Linked DNA regions of Nothobranchius furzeri. The protein of the gene in region 1 interacts with the protein of each later gene in a biochemical or structural test. Links are inferred from orthologs where the notes say so. Each region holds a gene or a part of one and is shown in the gene's direction. Other genes may lie near its edges.

Region 1 (4,398 bases):
AAACTATGATCACACCCAGAATCGAACCCAGGTCTTCGGCACGAGAGTCCGACGTCTTACTAGGTGAGCTAAAATGCCAATGACATCCTTTGTATCTGTAACTTTTATATCCTTGATGACAGCTGAAACAACGTTCAAAGAACGGTTCGGAGCGAAAATGGCTATTTTGTTGCTAATTTGCAGGAAATATCTAGAAGGAAGTAGCTAAGGGTGCTCAGAAATGTAGCTAGCTTTGTCACTAGGCGTTAGGAACAGCGACAAAGTGGCACTGCCTCTCTCTCTGCTGCTAAAGCTACGGATAGCAAATGCTACGGGCGATGCCTGAGCGTGAACACGCATGAAGCAGCCTGCTCGACCCGAGCATCTCTCTTTTTCTGTGATTTTACAGAAAAACAGGCAATCACAGTAAAAATGCCAGGGCTCATTCTACAGGACCAGGGCATTGCAGGAGAAAGTATGAAGAAGACATTTATTATTTCTATACATGTTATGGCTGTCACACTTCCATAATGCCCCTTTAAAAACATAAAACACCTTCAGCGACACTTCCAGCCTGGCCGACTCCAGGTGTACCTGCAGGCGTCTAACGAACAAATCAGACCCGCCGAACCGTGTGGACCACCTTGAACACAACACCAAACACTCCGGCTGTTCCTGGATTTCTCTGAGGCGGTGTGTCTTTACCTGCTGTGATGGGTTATTTGTCTCATCAGGTGGTCACCGCAGTCCCAGGAAGCGGTGTGGTGATTGACTACAGCAAGGCGGACGCCTGGGCCGTTGGGGCGATCTCCTATGAGATACTTGGAGAGCAGAACCCGTTCTATCAGGCTGGGGGACTGCGTAGCACCGACTACCAGGAGAAACAGCTTCCTCTGTTTCCTTCCAGAAGTCCAGCTGATGTGCAGTTGGTGATACAATTACTTCTCAGGAGAAACCCAGAGCGGGTAAAGCAGGATAGGTCCAGTTATAAACTGATCTCTTACACTTGGAAGCGTTTGTTTTTAATTGATGATTAGCTCTGTTTGCCTCTGTTCTTCCTCCTCAGCGGCCCAGTGCACGTGTAGCGGCTAACATGCTACATCTCAGCCTCTGGGGTCGGAAGGTTTTGGCCAGTCAGGACAGTGCTGGCACGAAGAAACTCGTTGACTGGTTGCTGTGCCAGTCTGCGGTGGTTCTCCTGAAGGGCTGTGCTGGACCCAGTGGGAATGGGGTGGAGGCGGAGCTTCAGAGAAGCTTTCTGTCCAATCTGGACCTGGTGGAGCTGCGCACCGCAATGGGCTTCCTCCTCTATGGTTGGGAGCAGCGCCGCGGCTGCTCTCTGTCAGCGTAGATCCGGTCCAAACCGTAACTCGGACCCTCAAAAAGAAACGCTGGTAGTTAAACTATGGGTGGATACCTGCTGTGTTTTTGTTGTGCTTGATTTAACATTTAGCTGCTGTATGAATGAGCAGTAGCTTAACGCTCATGCGAAAGGCCGGATTTCAGCGTCAGCTAGCTCGAAAACCTTTTATAGCACACAGAAATTTTACACGTTTACTGAAAATGACAGCTCCAGGTCTTCCTGGATTTTTTTGTATGGGATCAAATTTATTATTGAAAGTCAGAGAACGGGGTTCTGGATTTGTTCAGCCTGGTTTCACGTGAGTGAGTGAGTGAGGGAGTGAGTGAGTGAGTGAGTGAGTGAGTGAGTGAGTGAGTGAGGGAGGGAGGGAGGGAGCGAGCGAGCGAGCGGACTGCTCCCTCTCCATCATAGTTTGTATCCTCACAATGACTGTTTTCCAGCCAGATGGAGCAACATCTCACGCTAACTGGAACACAACATCATGCAGAAGGTGTGGGTGTATGCGTGAGTGATGACCCATGTGAGAAAGTCTGTGAAGGTCTAACAGAAGACGTCACCAAGGAGGAACTTTATACAAAGGACAGCTGGGAGGGAATGATTTTAGAGATCCAGAGTTCTACTGGGTCTAAATGTGCGAGAGCCGTCTGCAGGGACACCCAAGTCCAACTGGCCACTTGTTCAAGGGAAATCTGGTCAGAGGAAGTCTGGAACAAACCTTTAGAGGCTAAATTTAATCCCACACAAAGATGAGTAACATCTGTATTCAAAAGTACAAAAAACATAAATTTATATCAAAGGCTTTTGGAAGTAACTGATGTTCCAAAACGGGTCAATTCTTCCCTTTTGCTTTAGTTTTTGAATAAAAATTTCAGTACCTAATCTTTAAAAATCTAATTTATCACTGAGATGTTTGTTAATTTAAAAAAAAAAACTAAAAATTCTGTAATGAGAGTAGAAATGGCTGCTGGTGGTTAAGAGTAGATCCTGTCTCCTGAAAGCTCTCATGCACATTTGTAGACACAGGTCTGTCACAGTGTGGAAGTGACCAATGCAGATATTTAAAATTAAAACCATGTTACACTTGTGAGGATCTACTGGGTAGGGTGAGGTCAGCTACCTGCAGGTGCAACATCTGAAACCCTCTCCAAAGAGCTGGTTTTAGGAGGTTTCTGCGTAACGTGTGTTCGGCATGCTTAACAAAGATGAAGTCATGGTAAAACATCCATAGATCATTAGTACCATGCACAGGGGCGGATCTATAAGGGTGGCATAGGGTGGCAGTTGCCACCCTAAAAGAAAGCCTTGCTACCGCTGCTGCCACCCCAGCTGGTAGCTATAAATTCAAGAAAAATCAACGTTTTTCAACTGTCTGGCTCATAAAGACCTATTTGCAGTCTCCTTTGACAGAGAAAAGACTATGAAGCTAGGCTGTACTCAGCATTGAATCAAAACGGGCAAAATCTTTGGACCTTGATGAATGTGTAAATTGTTTTGCTGAGCAACATGGAAACTGCCGCATTCAGCTGTTGTAGGAAGGACATAATTTTATTATGTGTTTTATTTTCATGATGGGCCTTTAAGCTTATTAAATGAGGACCCAAAACAAATGAATATGCAAATCCTGGGAAAATAAAAAGGAAAACGTCTCTCTCTCTCTCTCTCTCTCTCTCTCTCTCTCTCTCTCTCTCTCTCTCTCTCTCTCTCTCTCTCTCTCTCTCTCTCTATCTCTATCTCTATCTATCTATCTATCTATCTATCTATCTATCTATGTGTGTGTGTATATATATATGAATGGCCACCCTAGAAAAATGTTTGCCCCTCTTCTGCCACCCCATAAATAATTTTGTAGATCCGCCCCTGACCATGCATAATAATGCACTCCGTTTTCCTGTTTGCATTTTTCTAGAATTGTATTCAAGAATAGTTGGTGTTTTAAATGTGTTATAAATGAAAAGCAACCATTTCACCGTCGCTAGAAAGACAGATTCATTTACTGCACTATATGGTTATTTTCAGCTGTACGTCAGTAGTTTGGGATGCAAATCCATGTTGTAATTATAGTTTGGTACATTGAAGATTGTTGGAAATATTTTTGGACATGTAGAAAGGTTGAATTTCAGAATAAAATCATTTCAAACGCAATTATCTCCAATTATGGTTAATGTTTGATTTCAGTGCACCCTTCAGCTTTTTGTTACCTTTGCAATGAATTTGACTGAATTTTGAGTTTTGGTTGGTGATGATGTTTTTGTTGGTTTGTGTGTCAAAATATCTTATGGAGGACTGGATGGATTTTAATGCAACAGTCAGAAATCAATTATTGCTGATTGGCATTTCAAATGAAGCCAATTCAAGATGGCCACCACAGCTGCATAATATTAGAAAACACAAAAATGACTAACCCAATCATTTTGATAGTAGCTGAGTCATTCAGTGTGAGGTCACACTATGAATACGTGTCATAAGTAGTGCAAGGTCGTCAATCTTTCAGTGCCTGGGCAGATTTTCTATTGAGTCTTTGCTGGTATTTAGTTTAAAATGAAGCAGTTTCTTTAAAACAGCTAACATTACACTCTTAAAGTGACAACGTGTATTTTCCCTGGCGATAAGTGGCAATACATACCTAAGTCATCACAAGCAAGCTGTAGTTTTGTGTTTGAGTAAGACCTTATCAACAGATGGCCATTAGGGTCAAAAATCTCTGTGAGTGCAGCCTCCAGCAAAATAAGCACATCAGACTCCCTTTCATCACTGGCAGTGAGTGATGAGGTAATGTGTAAAGCAATAACATTTATGAATGGTAAAAGTTTTGTAACTGTTCGTTACAAATCATTAAATGTATATTGTCCTCTACGGGCTCCCGTAGAAGGAAACACAGCATCTAATATGGTGTCACCCAGAGACTTAGGCCTAGTCCACACGTAGCCGGGTTTTTTAAACGAATATCCGCCCCTCCAAAAACTTGCATCCACACCACCTCGTTTAAAAAAAAAACTGTCCACACGTACCCGGATAAATTCGTTGTTAAGGACATGCCAGACCTGTAGGCGGCAGTA
Region 2 (4,638 bases), on another chromosome or scaffold:
TTTTAACACATAAAAGGTAGTTGTGTGTGTGTAAATTAAATTTGATTTACACTTCATTCAGATATTGGTGAAGTTTTCAGATGGAGCCTTTATGCACTTGTGCTGATTTACAGTTTAACAGGTAACTTCTAATGAACAGATGGAATTTTTTTCAAGAGCTTGTGAAATCTGCTTGTGTCGGTTTGGGATCACCTTGTTTGTGTGGATGTAGTTTTCCCCAAAATAATTCTTGTTAATCATTTCTATAAATGTCCCCAAAACAGGGAATGACGCATTAGGGTGGCCACCTTAAGGGACGTCCACCACAGCTTCTCTGGACCATGGGTAACTGTTACAGGACCTTTTGAAACAAGATCTTTATAATTGTTGAACTATTTACATAAAAGGATTAGGGCCACTGAAGAAGAAGTTCTTTTTCTCTTTTCTGAGGGAAAAATAATCAGAATTCTGAGGTTAAGGTTAGACGTCTCATAAATATTTACACCATTTTGTTCCTATTAGATTTTGAGTTTAGGAAGAAAACTTTTGCCAAAAGTGTATGAATGTATTTTTTGTACCAGATATTTATATTTAGGGAAATTATTTTTAAAAAATAGATGTAAAAATCTCATGGGTACTTTAAAGCAGCAACCTGGAGTTTCCCCCCTTCCAAGAATTATTTATGATTTTCTTTTAATCCATAAAAGCCTGTACTGTGATAACCAAGGCAATACATCTTTTTGAAATTTTCTTGGCGATTTTTGGGGGAGGTTGAAATCACGGCTCCCCCAAAAGGGTAATCAGCTCCCCCGGAAGCCATCAAACGACATACACATGGGGAGCTCGAAAAGAAGATTGGACGGAGAGGTGATCAGAGGGAAGACGAGCCCAGACTGATGCAGAGTTGGTAACATTTCTTATGGACAAGTAAGTCTTTAAAATATACATGATAAACAGCACAACATGACTGTTCATAAAAAGGCCATAATCATGGAAACTGAGAGGCCTAGGGGTGTAATGCAGTTTTCACCTCTAGATGACAGGTGTCACTGCGTTGTGGGAATTCAGTTCAATTAATCCATAACAAAAGGCTGCTTAAATCTCACTTTTTCTATTATATCTATGATTATTATAAAGTAAAAGCCATTCTGGAAGGTCCACTGTGGCTCCAGAGTTGCGGGTTGCAGACCACCACAGGCTTTCATCTGTAGTCTGGAGTGAAAATGAATTATATATATATATATAGGCCTGGATAAGTTTATCAGAATAACTTGATTACTTTACCAATCTGCCTAATAAAAATTATGCCCAAATAAATCAAGACACATTACTTAAAACTGCAAAGTGAGTTGGAACATTATAGGTCTTTTATTTCCGTGGACCTGGAGGAGCTTGCTCACGGACCTCTGCTGGTCCACGCTCCTTACGATTGGGAGCTCCAGCTCTGGTCTCCTCGGGAACTTTCTGCCGGAGTGAAGGAAGTCCATGTTAGGAAATGTTCCCCCCATGGGGCGCTGCTGCTGCCTGCCTCAGTCCGAGGATTTACACCCAGCTGGACGGCTCGGAGGGACACACACTGGATTTTGCGCTCACCGAGGGAAAGCACTGTAGCCATCATCTTCGTCTTCATTATGGCTCAAGCGAAAATACAAGCGAAAATGAACGAAGCTGCCCTCTGCAGCAAGTTCAGCAGGACGCTTTCTATGGCAGACCGCTCGGGGCGACTCCTGGAAAGTTTGGATCAGCTGGAAACGAGGTAACAGGCCCTTGTTGTACCATGTGTGCTACGGAGCCGCTATTTGCCCCGGCCGCTAACATTTATTGGCATAAACCTTTTATAAACACTGTAAACAGGGCAATGTGACAATAAATGTTTTTCATAACAAACATAACTGGTTTGCAGCGTGTTATTTCATATGCTGTCTCTCTTTCTGTGTCAGAGTGGAGGCTTTACGAGAAGCAGCATCTGCCATGGAGCAGGAAAGGGAGTGCATCCTGGAAATGATTCAGTCCATACAGAACAGTCAAGAAATGAGGAACATCTGTGCTGGTGAAGCTGCTAACTCTCTCTTAACTTACATAAGCGCAAAAGTCACGCACGGCTTAATGCCAGGGAAGATACGCGGTTATAAAGGGGAACTAGTACGGTTAATGTATTTCTACCAGAATCCCATCTCCTCTGATCTCACCCAGACCCAGTTTGTGTGAACCAGGCTCATGTTTCACCTCTGGATCGTGTGAGTCAATAGCCTACATCTGGTTTATTGATTTGGTTCCGCTGTAAACAGACAAAAAGGCCTAACCCTTAAAGCTCATTATTTAAATCCAGAGTCTGACCAGGGTAGACCGTCTAGTCATGTTGGTTTATGCTCCATTAAACCTCATTAATGTAAGTTAGTATGATTCACACGAGCTCCATGGTTCACCTAGAAACTCCTCTCAACTGGTCAGGGATTTGAAAGAAGGGCTTTATGTAAAGGTGCATTATGTAAGACTGACATCCTGTGGTCAAATTTGGTTACTGCAGACCACATTTGTAAGCAAAAGTCACTGCCGTGAGTGTCAATCAAAATCAAATCAAAGATACTTTATTAATCCCAGAGGGAAATTAGAGTTTCAGTACACACAATTCAGAGATCAGACATACATGGGCAAGACATATGACAAGAATTGGTGACTGTGGTCATTCGCAACCCTGAGTCGTGCTAATTGAGATCAGAGGGTTACATGAGGATTGGTTCAGGTGGAGGGAAAAAAAGGCACTTCAGAGTTACCCTCCACTGGGAAGGCAGCTTTGCTATGCAAAAAAAAAAAAAACACCCACCTCCGACAGAGATGCAACAGACTTCAGGCATTACACAATATAAGTGTCCACTAGGTGGGGAGGTGGGTTGGGATTATCCCTACTTCAGTTCCTGCAGCCACGATAGATTCTCATGGCGCAAAAGGGCCTGTTACAGATCAGCACCAGAAGATTCTAGATGACAAGAAAAGATGAGTTATAACCTAATCTTTGAATAAAATTTGCAAACATAACCGAACATTCTGTCCGTTAAACACTAGGCAGTCCGGCTCCGACTTTGCTTCCTGTTCAACTACTCTAAGCCAAGAATGCGCAATACATCCACAAATACGGGTATGCGCATACAGCGGAGGGACTGTCAGAGGGGAGTTTGATGGATGGATCATGATTCAGTCATTAAGAACGGGATTGCATGTTTCAGAGGAAATGAAAATTATTAGTTTTTCGACAAAGCATTTACTTTATTGGTTGCTGTACGATGTGATGACCATAACAAGCAATATGGCAAAAAATGCTCCAGAGAAACATCGTCCATCCCAATAAAAAATATGTTTGGAAATGTTATTGCATTCATTTCTTCCAATTAATATCAGTGGTATTTTGGTGTCAGCTTGTTATTATTGACAAGTTGGCAGAATCATGGAGAACATCATGAATATTGCTTAACAGGTTTCAGTGGGGGCAGTATTATGGTGTGGGGTGGGATCTCAGACAAATCAGAGCTTGTACTCATTGAAATAAACTTTTAGAAATATGAAATGACTATTGATGTGCTGTTACAGCCGCATTAAAAGCAGTTTCTTTCCTATAAAGATTTAGTAATATGTTTACATGTCTTCTAGGTGAGAGGGAAGAGTTATCTTTGACTGCGAACCGTCTGATGGGCCGAACGTTGTCTGTGGAGATCTCTGTTGGCACAATCAGAAACCCCCAACAGGAGGATGCACTACTCAAGGCCACGTCTATGATAGACGAGATTGTGAAAAAGCTGCTGAGCGACATGGAAGGTGGCCGTCAGCAGCTGCTGGCCCTGCACGCTGCCTGCGTCACGGAGGCACCGCTCGTCCCTATTGACCAGAAGTTTCAGACCGTGGTGATCAGCTGCGCTCTGGAGGACCAGAAGAAGATAAAGCGAAGGCTGGAGACTCTGCTGAGGAACGTTGAAAATGCCGAAAAGAACATCAAGATAATGGATCACCAAAAACTGGAGGGCACAAAAGCTAACGGGGGTCACTGAGACCCTTTGCCGAGGTGTCTTGAATTCCACTAACCTCACAGAAAGCTATAGTTAGCTTTTACACATTTAATTAATTTCAGATGGACTCTGCTTGAAGCAGCAAGGAGAGGTCTTATGGGAAAATGCCATACCGAATTTTAACCTTTCACCTTTAGGTAGCACACCTTTTTGTCCATCTTTTTGAAGCATGCACAGATTTCAATGATCGCCCATTATGCTGATTTTGTTTGGTTGCACGGTCAACAGCGTTTACTGTGAACGTTCACCAATTTACTTAAACCTGACACAAGGTTTGAACAAGATCAAAACACACGACTGATTCTGACTTGTTGTCCAGGCCGGTTTATCTGAAGCCAGGAATGGTGCAGCACTTTCCTTTTTTAAACCCTCATCTACAATGTACGGGCTGTTGAGAGGATAATGGATGTTTGTACACTTCCTCCTTGTGTGAAGGCAACACAAATCACATAAAGCTGTGCATTTTTTCACAAATCACTTTGTATTTAACAAAAATGTAATAAAACACTCTATAATAACATTTTGAAACACCTTTTTTCAGTCGGGTTAAGATTCTAACTCTGGTGGCTAAATCACAGTGAATATGATGACTCATTCTTCC
Region 3 (4,291 bases), on another chromosome or scaffold:
CGGTATGATCTTTGTGTTTCCAGCTGGCTGTGAGGACTCTCTGGTAAAAGAGTTGCATCATTTCAGGATTCTGGGAGATGAACAGGTGACGTACCGTCACACAGGATGTGGGTGCTTGGTTCAGACACTGTGTAGCATGATGTGTCCATGTAAACTACACACTTAGAAGGAATGGGTTTTATATAGCACTTCTTTCTGAAAGAGCCCCATAGTACTTCACAACAGCAATCGTACAGACACCACAGAGAACGGCAACCATAAAATACATATAAACAAAGGCCTATAAAGCATCAAGCAAAGCACCACAGAATTAAAAATCATTAAAAGCCTTCCATGAAGTCAGTAGAGACGCATTCATGCTGTGAGCAGCAGGTTTGAACACTCACCTGTGTGCTTGTTTCAGTATGGGCGGTACCAGCAATATGGGGCGGAAGAGTGTCTGCTGACCCTTGGAGGCCTGTTATGTCCCTCACCTGGCTGCGGGGCGGGACTTCTACCACCCAACGGCATCAGGAGGGTGGAGTGTGACAGACAGCTAGGCTGTGGCTTCATCTTCTGCAGGGACTGCAGAGGACCATATCATGAGGGGGCATGTCAGGTGATGCCAGCTCCACCCACCTCACGTGACTCTTCACAGGTAAGTCACAGGAGGATGAAGGTGAGGATGATGTTGGTGATAGATGATGATGATAATGGTGAGGATGAAGGTGATGATAATGGTGAGGATGATGATGATGATAATGGTGATGATGGTGATGATGGTGAGGATGATGATGATGATGATAATGGTGATGATGATGATGGTGATGATGATAATGGTGATGATGATAATGGTGATGATGATGATGATGATGGTGATGATGATAATGGTGATGATGATGATGATGATGATGATAATGGTGATGGTGAGGATGAAGGTGATAATAATGGTGATGATGATATTGATAATGATGATGATGATGATAATGCTGATGATAATGGTCAGGATGAAGGTGATTATAATGGTGATGATGATGATGACAATGGTGATGATGACAATGGTGATGATGATGATGATGTTGATAATGATGATGATGATGATGATGTTGATAATGATGATGATGATGATAATGGTGATGATAATGATGATGATGATGATGTTGATAATGATGATGATGATGATGTTGATAATGATGATGATGATGATAATGGTGATGATAATGATGATGATGATGATGTTGATAATGATAATGCTGATGATAATGGTCAGGATGATGGTGATGATAATGGTGATGATGATGATGATGATGATAATAATGGTGATGATGATGATGATGATAATGGTGATGATGATGATGATGAGGATGAGGATGAAGATGAAAATAATGGTGATGATGATGATGATGATAATGGTGATGATGATGATGATGATGATAATGGTGATGATGATGATGATAATGGTGATGGTGATGATGATAATGGTGGTGATGATGATGATGATGACGATGATGATGATGATAATGGTGAGGATGAAGGTGATGATAATGGTGACAATGATGATAACAGTGATGATGATGATGATGACGATAATGATGATGATAATGGTGAGGATGAAGGTGATATTAATGGTGATGGTGATGATGATGATGATGATGATGATAATGGTGAGGATGAAGGTGATAATAATGGTGATGACGATGATGATGATTGATTGAGGTTCCTTACTTTGTTCTCTGAGATTAATCTAATGCCGTTCAGGTCAGGTGATTGACTAAGCAATTACCTTTTCTGAATTTCAGGTCCAAAGATGAGAACTTCAGTCTTGTCTTGATTTAAAAGCAGAAAGTTTTGCGCAATCCAATTTTTGATGTCTTCTAGACAAGCCTGTATCCTAACTAACCGATGAGGTTCATCAGTGTTAATGGATAGATATAACTGAGTATCGTCAGCTTAACGGTGGAAGTTTATCCCATGCTGCCTAATGATTTTACCAATTGGAAGCATATATATATATTATATATATATATATATATATATATATATATATATATATATATATATATATATATATATATATATAGTAAAAAGAAATGGTCCAAGCACTGAACCCTGTGGTACTCCACAAGTAACCCTGGAGTATAACTGAGTATCGTCAGCTTAACGGTGGAAGTTTATCCCATGCTGCCTAATGATTTTACCAATTGGAAGCATATATATATATATATATATATATATATATATATATATATATATATATATATATATATAGTAAAAAGAAATGGTCCAAGCACTGAACCCTGTGGTACTCCACAAGTAACCCTGGAGTATGAAGAAGATTTGTCATGTACATTTACAAAATGAAATCTGTCAGACAGGTAGGATTTAAACCAGCCTAGCGCTGTTCCTTTGATCCCTACAACATGTTCAAGCCTTTCTAAAAGAACATTGTGATCAACTGTGTCAAAGGCAGCATGATGATAAAATAATTAACCTGTTACCCTTCCTGCAAAGGGTTTTGTTGTTGCAGAGGAGGCATCTCAACAGGGGAGGTGGGACCGGGCATCTCTGCTCCTCATCCAAGAGTCAACCAAACGCTGCCCTCGCTGCTCGGTTCCTGTGGAGAGAAACGGTAGCCATTACGTTCAAGTCACTCACTACTAATACACATGTAGGTGACTGAAGTGTTGTGCTGTTGCCCCATGCAGGTGGCTGCATGCACATGCAGTGCTCCCTCTGCAGAGCTGAGTGGTGCTGGCTGTGTGGCGTTCCCTGGAACCGAGAGTGTATGGGGAACCACTGGTTTGGATAACGGCACACTTTCACAAGACTAAAGCATCTGGTTCATAATTGATCACATTTGTGACCAGGTCTTCCTGTCCCCTCAGACATCCATGTGTTAATTGACCACCCCAGACCAGGATGTCAGTCAGAGTTTTCTACTATCCATGACAAGTGTTATTACTGTAGCTGACTAGAGATAGTGCATGGACAATATCAAGCCCTACCCCACCCCAGAGAGATGCTCTGTAGTTGGTCTGATTGTCCATAGTACGCTAAGACAACCCTGTGGGTCCGAGCCATGTGATCAGCCAACCTCCTACGTTTAAAATCTGAGGTTGTGATAAATGGCAACACCGTACTCTGCTATTCCTAGAGGACTGCCGACATCCTGCTGTGGGTTTCTCTGCTCACAATAATTTAAATAAAGCTGTATCTGTTTTTTGGAACAAGTCATGTTAACAATGAGTTACTAATGAGATAATGTGTTACTAGTATGTTACCAGTGACTTAAAGGTTGAATATAGAACAATAAAAAGCTATATTGTTTTTAAATAAAACCTCCATGGGGTATTTAGAGGTGTCCAGAATGAAGCTAAAGCGCCTCATTAAAAAGCTAGATTTTAATTTTAAAATAATCAAATATTGTTTTGACGGGCGCAACACTGGGTAATGTTCATATCTACCAACCAGTAGAGGGCACCAATGCGGGTTGCCAAACAGTCTGCGAGGCTGGCTCTGTGGAAAATGGCGGACTCTGTGAGTCAAGCAGCTACTTCTGAGCCCAGGAGATGTCATTATTCTTCTCAGAAGAGGAGCGACCATGAAAGATCTAAAACCAGAGTGAGTTTGGGTGAAACCTACAACAAATGGACGGACCCATATAAAAAAATTCACGTATCAGCAGCAAACCTGGCGTCCTGATGACTGGAAGACTTGTTCTATTGCTGCAGCTACAACCTCCACACACTAGATGTCGCTTTGATGTTCCGGTTCCATACTCAACCATTAATGATGAGATTATAATGAGTTAACAATGAGTTGATAATTTAATGGGTTCATAGAATGTTAACAATGGTAAATGACCTGTAATTGTTTAGGGCCTCTGCCAAGGTACTTTAAAGGTGTGGTTGACTGAAAAAACATTTTTAATGATTATTTCTGATTCTAACGGGTCACTCTGGGTTTTTCATGCAGGCTGAACATTAAAACAGTCTTCTACATCTATCTGCTGCATTAGCTTCTGATAGAAAATAGACAGTGAAATGCTAGGACTTGAAAATCCTCAGATCTATGTCACACTGTGAATTTGCATTCATGGCCCTGCCCATTCTGGCTCGGACCCGCCCACAGGAAGGCTTTTTTACATTTTGTTTTGCAGCGAGGAGAGCGCAAAGTGTGCGTTGTTGATAGTGACTTTGCAACATGGCTGAACTCGTTCTTTTAGCCAATCAGAAGCAAGGTGTGTGCACATCATGAGTTTTAATATGTAATCCTGCTGTTTTCAGCCCAACTTCTGCAACTCAGAATAGGA

Evidence for each region.
Region 2: the proteins of pink1 (region 1) and bag2 form a complex in vitro, tested with the Homo sapiens proteins (2 studies listed by BioGRID). The link is inferred for Nothobranchius furzeri from reciprocal best matches to the Homo sapiens genes PINK1 and BAG2.
Region 3: of the proteins of pink1 (region 1) and prkn, one has a biochemical effect on the other in vitro, tested with the Homo sapiens proteins (12 studies listed by BioGRID, with this or other methods). The link is inferred for Nothobranchius furzeri from reciprocal best matches to the Homo sapiens genes PINK1 and PRKN.

What each region holds. Positions count from the first base shown.
Region 1 is NC_091755.1:38,775,203-38,779,600, reverse strand, and holds the end of pink1 (serine/threonine-protein kinase PINK1, mitochondrial), read left to right. Parts: intron 1-713; coding exon 714-944; intron 945-1,045; coding exon 1,046-1,330; 3' UTR 1,331-3,484; downstream 3,485-4,398. UniProt on the Homo sapiens protein: Serine/threonine-protein kinase which acts as a sensor of mitochondrial damage and protects against mitochondrial dysfunction during cellular stress.
Region 2 is NC_091752.1:19,643,378-19,648,015, reverse strand, and holds bag2 (BAG family molecular chaperone regulator 2), read left to right. Parts: upstream 1-1,356; 5' UTR 1,357-1,610; coding exon 1,611-1,735; intron 1,736-1,919; coding exon 1,920-2,029; intron 2,030-3,624; coding exon 3,625-4,019; 3' UTR 4,020-4,557; downstream 4,558-4,638. UniProt on the Homo sapiens protein: Co-chaperone for HSP70 and HSC70 chaperone proteins. Acts as a nucleotide-exchange factor (NEF) promoting the release of ADP from the HSP70 and HSC70 proteins thereby triggering client/substrate protein release.
Region 3 is NC_091752.1:62,536,372-62,540,662, forward strand, and holds the end of prkn (E3 ubiquitin-protein ligase parkin), read left to right. Parts: intron 1-23; coding exon 24-85; intron 86-403; coding exon 404-637; intron 638-2,490; coding exon 2,491-2,608; intron 2,609-2,684; coding exon 2,685-2,788; 3' UTR 2,789-3,317; downstream 3,318-4,291. UniProt on the Homo sapiens protein: Functions within a multiprotein E3 ubiquitin ligase complex, catalyzing the covalent attachment of ubiquitin moieties onto substrate proteins. Substrates include SYT11 and VDAC1.